Oryctolagus cuniculus: one gene and its partner. The protein of the gene in region 1 purifies or fractionates together with the protein of each later gene. This does not show direct contact. Links are inferred from orthologs where the notes say so. Each region holds a gene or a part of one and is shown in the gene's direction. Other genes may lie near its edges.

The links.
Region 2: the proteins of RIMS1 (region 1) and ERC2 purify together in Homo sapiens (affinity purification with western blotting; 3 studies listed by BioGRID and IntAct, with this or other methods). This does not show direct contact. The link is inferred for Oryctolagus cuniculus from reciprocal best matches to the Homo sapiens genes RIMS1 and ERC2.

Annotation. Positions count from the first base shown.
Region 1 is NC_091436.1:100,750,118-100,754,187, reverse strand, and holds the start of RIMS1 (regulating synaptic membrane exocytosis protein 1), read left to right. Parts: upstream 1-1,270; 5' UTR 1,271-1,415; coding exon 1,416-1,579; intron 1,580-4,070. UniProt on the Homo sapiens protein: Rab effector involved in exocytosis. May act as scaffold protein that regulates neurotransmitter release at the active zone.
Region 2 is NC_091441.1:93,425,821-93,429,320, forward strand, and holds part of ERC2 (ERC protein 2), read left to right. Parts: intron 1-1,906; 5' UTR 1,907-2,046; coding exon 2,047-2,703; intron 2,704-3,500. UniProt on the Homo sapiens protein: Thought to be involved in the organization of the cytomatrix at the nerve terminals active zone (CAZ) which regulates neurotransmitter release. Seems to act together with BSN. May recruit liprin-alpha proteins to the CAZ.

The DNA of each region.
Region 1 (4,070 bases):
TCTTAAATGCAATAGGATATGATCGGATGTTTTTCTTACCTGGGATCAGTGTTTCTGGAGAAGTCGCTATAGAGGCTAAGGCATGAGTACATGATGACAGTGAATATCATTAGAGCAATTAGAGTAGATAATCCATTTGCAAGCACCAAAGAAGTGCATTTATGTGGTGCATTGGGGCTACCCAGAGCCCTAAATGACAGTTTAGAGGTACTGTGTTGTGGGGCATCTTGAGACGAAATTAGGATACGTTGCTGAACAGTCCTAGCGAGAACGGGTCAAGAAAGACACTGCATTGAAGAGTACAGTGTACCCACAAAATCCAGGCTGTTGGAGGGGTGTGTGTGTGTGTGTAAAAATGATCTAGAAAATCACATTGTTGTAGCCCTGAACACTTGACTAGTAAACGCGATAACAGGAAGGAAAAAAAAATGTGTCCACAGGGTGTTCCATCCTGCTGTTCAGAACATTGTGGGTGCCCAAACAATATTAATGCTCTATGATGAAGACGGTAGAGAGGATGATGATGATGATTAATGCAACTCATGGAAAAACAGGGCTGGGGAGGATGACATAGACCAGGGACCACGAGAGGGAGGATGACTCACGGGTGAGGGGTACCTGGGGATAGAGCGATGTGGCGTGCACGTTGGCGAGCGTGGGGGAGCGGCCGGGGCACGCGTGCCTCGGACCTGGGAGTGGGCGGGTGGGCGCGGAGAGGCGGAGCGTATCCCGGACTGGGTGGCTGGCAGCTCTGTCTGCGAGAGCAGCAGCATCACCCGGGAGCGAAGCCTCGGAGACTCCGCCTAACTGACACCCAAACTCTCCCTCTCCCTCCCGCAGCCCCAAACTGGAGGCAGCTGAGTCTGCGAGCAGCCTCGGCGGCGGCGGCGGCCGCCCCAGCCCCAGCCCCAGCCCCAGCCCCGGCCCCGGCCCCAGCCCCAGCTAACGCTAGCCCCGGCCCCGGCCCCAGCCCCAGCCCCGGCCCCGGCCCCGCCCCCGCCTCGCGCGCCCCGCGGAGACGCCCGGATCGGCGGAGCCCGGCGCAAGCCCTCGCCCCCTCGCCGCGCCCGCCGCGCCTCCGCCCGCCCGCCCCCGCCGCCGAGACCCGGCTGCGGGAGGCGGCCGGCGGCCCCGAGCCTCGCTAGGGCGACCAAAACAAAGGCAGCATCCGGGGCTGGGTGGATGCAAACAACCATGAAAGCCTGGGCTCGCGCTCTCCCCAGCTCCGCCGCTGCTGCCGCCGCCGCCGCCGCCGCCGCCGCCGCCGCTGCCGCTCCTCCTCCCCCTGCCGCCGCCGCCGCCGCCGCCGCCGCCGGGAGGGCTCGGCTGTGAGGGGAAGCAGGGGCGCAGCAGCTGGGCGTGCTTCCGAAAGGTGAGAGCGAGCCGCAAGCGGAGGGGGCGGGCAGGCCACGAAGATGTCCTCGGCCGTGGGGCCCCGCGGTCCTCGCCCACCTACGGTGCCTCCCCCCATGCAAGAGCTGCCCGACCTGAGCCACCTGACCGAAGAGGAGAGGAACATTATCATGGCAGTGATGGACCGGCAGAAGGAAGAGGAGGAGAAGGAAGAAGCCATGCTCAAGTAAGCCACCCGTGCCTCGGTGCCTCCCTCCGTCCATTCACCACTCACTCGCCCAGTCCTCCCGGCCGGGTGGGGGAGGGGCGGGCGCGGGTGCTGGGTTCGGGCGGAGGCGCCCGCCCCGGGGCCAGGGGTGCTGGGTTTGAGTAGGGGTGAGGCCAGTGGGGCCAGGGGAAGCAGGGGATGCCACCAAGCCGGAACCAAGGAGCCGGGTGTAGATGGCTTGAGGCTGGGGTGCCCGGGAGGATTGGGAGTGGACAGGGGCCACCCCGGTGGTGGGATGTGAGGGAGCTCAGAGAACCTGAAGCCGCCAAAGTGGAAGGGCCCTGGGCTGGGAGCAGGTGAGGGGGCAGCGGATAAGCAGTGGAAAGGAGGGGTGGGATGAAGAGGTGCTGAGGACAGCTCCTCTGCTCTTTTGGAGTTGTTTGGCAGGTCGGGGTTAGCCCGGTGAAGGGTGCCCGCATTTACAGAATGAAAATGCTGATTTTTAGTATTCATTTTGCTACTCATTCATTTCACAGACCAAGGTTGGGTCTTTTCTGGGCAGTTGCCATCTTTGGTAACCTGCCTCCCCAGCTTCTCTTCACCCTGTTCTTCACAGTCTAGAGCAGAGAATACCTGTGTGAAGATACATTTTCTTACCCAGATGTAATGCCACGGGCAATGCAAAGTTTCTGATAATGAGAGAAGCTGCTGAGGAATCTGGCCTGAATAAAATAGAGGTCTCTCTTTGGTGGGCACCAAGAGACCTCTGGGGCCTGCTCCATTCCTGGAGGAAGCAGTCCAGTAAGATGTTGAGTGTTTGCACACATCCTGCCTTCTTTAGAGCCCATAGAGCCCTCAAAGCATCTCTGTCTGGTGCCCTATTTTCCTGGGGACGGCGAGGGGATAGGGTTGGCTGCTGGTGGTGCAGGGGTGTGTGACAACTATGCTGCTGCTTGCTCAGACAACACTGCTTACAAGGAACTGGCAGAGAGACCGGGCTTTCTCATCCTTAGCATCACCCACAGAGTGGAGCTGAAGGGGACTTCATCCTGTCTTTCCTGGGGGAAGTCTTCATGTATTGGGGAAAGTTTCCCACTATGGAGTGGGAGGATTTGGAGACCCTGACTGGGAGTAATTCTTCAGGCCCCTTGTGTAAGCTAGCAGGTGTATCTGGGGGCAGGGGATTGGCATGAGGAGCTGAGAGGAACCTGTTGCATCTGGAGTTAGCTGATAGCAAAAAAAAAAAAAAAAAAAAAAAAAAGAGTAGAAAGGGAGCAGGAGTGACAGTCAGTACAGAGCACACCCAGCATGGCCTCTCTCCCACCCCTAGAATTGCCTCCTGGAGGGAAGATGCTGCCTGGAAGGTTTCTTCCGTTTCCCCTCAGTGCAGCAGTGCCTCACAGGAGAGGGAAGAAGGGAGGCTGCATTCACAAACTGATGAGTCTCCAACCAGTGCAACTGTCACCCAGAGCAGGGAGGCGACACTGAGGGAGAGATGTGGTTGCTGGGTCACAGCAAAATAGTAGAAGCCCAGTCATTCCTGCCCTGTAACTATGGATGGAGAAAAGGGCTGTTAACCAGGCAGGCCAGAGCTGGCCTGATTCTATAAAGAGCAGCAGGCTTCTGCGTTCCCTGCTCCTTCTCATCCGAAAAACAAATACTTTAAACCTGCAGGCTTCAGAGAGGCACAGCCCTCGGTAATCTGCTGCCTGTCCCTAGTGGAAGAATGGCATCCCCGGTGCTGCAGGCTTTCCCTCTTCTGAGACTGGAAGTAATGGATGGTGTCTGATGGTGCTGCTGTCTGTGTGTCTAGTTGTCAGTTTGTCTGTCCTTACTGGTTGCAGCCCCTGCCACCTGTCCTGGACACCTTTTCTGCTCTTCAGTATTTCCAGGTGTGTTGCTGTTCCTTTTGGTGTTCACTGCAGACAGCAAGTGGATGGAGGCTTCCAGCACCTAGTGGAAAATATGGGTGGCTGCTTGACAGTCTGGTTAGAAAGGGGAAGGCACATTGCAAGTTGTGGCCATCACGCCTCTTCATTGGCTGTTTCAGGCATGGTGGAGAGTGATGAATTTTAAGTGGGAGTGGGTGAGTTTTAGGACAGAATCCTAAACCTGCTAACTGGTTAAGGACAGTGATTATATGATTGTATGGGCTTTTATGGGCAAATGAAAAATAAAGCATTGTCCAACTGCTCACCTGTAACACTTTTTTTTTTTTTTGCCCACTGCTTTTCCTATGAGTGCTTTCCACTTACTTGCAAATATTTTTCCTTCATTGCATGGTTTCACAAAATATCACAATATGTCTTGCTGTTATACAATAGACTTCTACAGTCTTGGACCTCTGCATTAACTTGTATCAGTTATCCTCTTTTACTGATGTCTTTTGTGCAATGGATTGGTGAGTCTCAGTTTGTTGCCATACAAGTGTGTCATATTATCTACAAGTAATGGAACAGTAGTATACTTTTATTGAGGGGACTCTTGTCTTAAAAACTGAGGATAGCAA
Region 2 (3,500 bases), on another chromosome or scaffold:
GTACCAAAGTATGTATTTTATCAACATCATCTTATGTAATTTTTTAAAAGTTTTATTTATTTATTTGAAAGTCAGAGTTACACAGAGAGAGGAGAGGCAGAGAGAGAGAGATCTTCCATCCACTGGTTCACTCCCTGATTGGCAACAGTTGGTGCTGGGCCCATGTGAAGCTAGGAGCCAGGAGTTTCTTCTGGGTCTCCCATGTGGGTGCAGGAGCCCAAGGACTTGAGCCATCTTCTGCTGCTTTCCCAGGTCATAGCAGAGAGCTGGATGAAAAGTGGAGCAGCCTGGATTCGAACTGGCGCCCATATGGGATGCCAGCACTGTAGGCAGTGGCTTTACCTGCTAGGCCACAGAGACAGCCCCATGTATTTTTTTTTTTTTTTTACAATGCTATGAGTTGAGTGATATTGCTTTGCATTCTCACACTTGGAAAGTGGAATTTCCTACAGTTAAAGAATTGCCTAGAGTCACTCAGCTGGTTAGTGTTAGAGTGGAGATTTCAACTCCAGTTTGTCCTTTTTAAAGAGTCTGTTCTCTTTTGATTATAAAGCTAAAGAAAAAAGTATACTAAAGACCCTATAACAGAAAGAACACAAGCTATATGCCACACCCCAGGCCATTCAGATTCTAATATTGAAGGAATAATCACAACCCTGTAGCCCCAGATACATAAAATTTCCACTAATACACTTGAGTGATCATCACAGGGACATTCTATTGCTTTTCTGTAGGGATTATGGGACAAGGAGCTGTAACCTGGTATATTTTTCCTTTGTTTGATTTCTGTATAATTGTGAAATGGATAATATGAATAGCTCTTAAAATTTATTTATTTATTTGAAAGGCAAATTTGAAAGGAGGGAGGGATGATGAGTGAGAAAGAGATACCTACCATCTAACTGCTGGTTTACTCTCCAAATGACTGCAATGATCAGGGCTGCACCAGGCTAAAGCCAGGGGCCAGGAACTCCATCTAGGTCTCCAGCCTGAATGGCAGAGGCCCATGCACTTGAGCAATCTTCTTTTGCCTTCCCAGTCACATTAGCAGGGAGCTAGATTGTAGCCATGACTTGAACCAGCCACTGACATGGGATGCCATTGTCACAAGTGGTGGCTTAAGCCATAATGCTGGCCCCAAGTTAACATGAATATTAAGGTTAACTGAAATGGGAAAAAATTCTTAAAAAGACTTAGAAAATGTGTGTGGAAGTAGAACAAGACAGGACTAAATGTTTTCTCTGGTGACAATAATGGGGATCTGGCTAGATGTGTCAGTGTCTCATTCATTGAGCTGCTGCTTTGTCTAGTTCCAAGATGGCTAACATGTGTCAGTTCCAGTTGATTGAGGGTCAACCATTTAGAGTGTTATGAGGGGAGAGTTCTGAACCTAGTGGGAAAAAGGACTGTGATTAATTCGTGATGTCTGTAAAGGGTACTGGAGAGGAAGGTAACAGATGCTTTCCAAATACTTAAATTCTGTATCCTAGGAAGCAGCAATTTCTTCGAGTGACTGTCAGGCTTCATATGTATGGATTCATGTACTTGATGATGGATTATTTTATTGCTAATATTTCCATGGTGGGGAATCTTTGGTGAACTTTCTAGTGATCCAAACTGTAACATACCACAAATCAAAATGGATAGCTTTATTTTCCTGAGAGAAAAAAAAGCCTGTTTTTTGCTCAAAACTTGCTTAGGAGTAGGGTGGGAGAATTTGTAAAAATGTACCTGTAATTAGTAAAGTTTTGGGGTTACTTTTCCTTTTACGTGAACTTCATAGGTGGAATGATCATTTATCTCTCAATATAACCATTTACCTGTCTATATATTGTAAAATGTCATGTAGTTGTAGTCAGATTTCTAAATAAGTTTGTTTTTACTTATCACTGTTTTCATTTTGCAGATCTTTGATTGGAGTCATTTTCTGGTACAGACTACGACAAGAATGCATTGAAAATTCTGGTCAACAGTGGAAATATTGACATAAGCCCCAACTTAGTATAGCATTTCGTCTCTTGAATAGTAACTCATAATACAAGAAAAATGTATGGAAGTGCAAGAACAATCACCAACCTGGAAGGTAGTCCTTCCAGGTCTCCTCGTTTGCCAAGGTCACCTCGTTTGGGCCATAGGAGAACAAGTAGTGGGGGAGGTGGAGGAACGGGCAAGACTCTGTCTATGGAAAACATTCAGTCTCTTAATGCAGCCTATGCTACGTCTGGACCCATGTATCTGAGTGATCATGAGGGAGTGGCTTCAACAACTTACCCAAAGGGCACCATGACTCTGGGCAGGGCCACAAATCGAGCTGTATATGGAGGCCGAGTCACAGCCATGGGGAGCAGTCCCAATATTGCTTCCGCTGGACTTTCCCACACAGATGTCCTTTCATATATGGATCAACATGGTGGTCTGACCAGCTCAACCCATCATCACCACCACCAGGTCCCCTCCATGTTGAGGCAGGTAAGAGATAGCACAATGTTGGATCTTCAAGCCCAGCTAAAGGAACTTCAGAGAGAGAATGACCTCCTCCGGAAAGAGCTGGACATCAAGGACAGCAAGTTGGGATCTTCCATGAACAGCATCAAGACATTCTGGAGTCCTGAGCTTAAGAAAGAGAGAGTCTTGAGGAAAGAAGAGGCAGCTCGGATGTCTGTCCTCAAGGAGCAGATGAGGGTTTCCCATGAAGAAAATCAGGTAGGTTATGACTTCCTCCGCATTTTTCAGCCTTAGCTTCTCACTGAGTAGTTGATGCTGTGCAGATGGCACCTTGACCTGTGCAGAAGAAAAACTTTGGCATCATCAAAAAGGTTTTATCTTAGAATGTATTTAACTTTGGCATTATAAGACAGTATAAGAAATATGAGGTCACAACTTATGGTTTCCTTTTTTCCAATCTTTGCAGAAGTGTGTGTGTGTGGGGGTTACTTATTGCCTAAATTTTGAACTTGGTAAATTTTGTTTTCTTTTTCAACAGTTGCAGCATCTCAAATGTACCTCTCTCTGAATAGAAGAGGAAAATGTTAATTTCTGCAAGAGTAGACCATTTAGAGGGCCACCTTTGAGTGGTGAATAGATTTTTTAGAGAACACCAGCAGTGTTATTTCCTTCTGAAATGGATAGGGCTTGTTCTCTAAGTGGCAAATGGAGCAATATGGAATGGGATGGGATTCAATGGATTTGATGTCATGTTAGAGACACACAGTAAATTTTAATTTAGTCTTACTGTCTTGATCCATTCAATATTAATTAACTACTCTGTTTACATGGTGCCCCATTGCGCACATTCATTCACACACACAAACACACATGTAAACAATACAAAAGCTTGACAAAAAACTAAAAAAAAAAACCTACCTACTCTGTGTGCAAAGTACCTTCTTACTCTTCACTGACCCATCCTTCATGTCACAACAAGGTTAGTTTCCCCATGTTTGCCTGCAGATAGGCCATTACCATGCATTAAAGCTCTCTGTGATTCTGTGATTACTTTT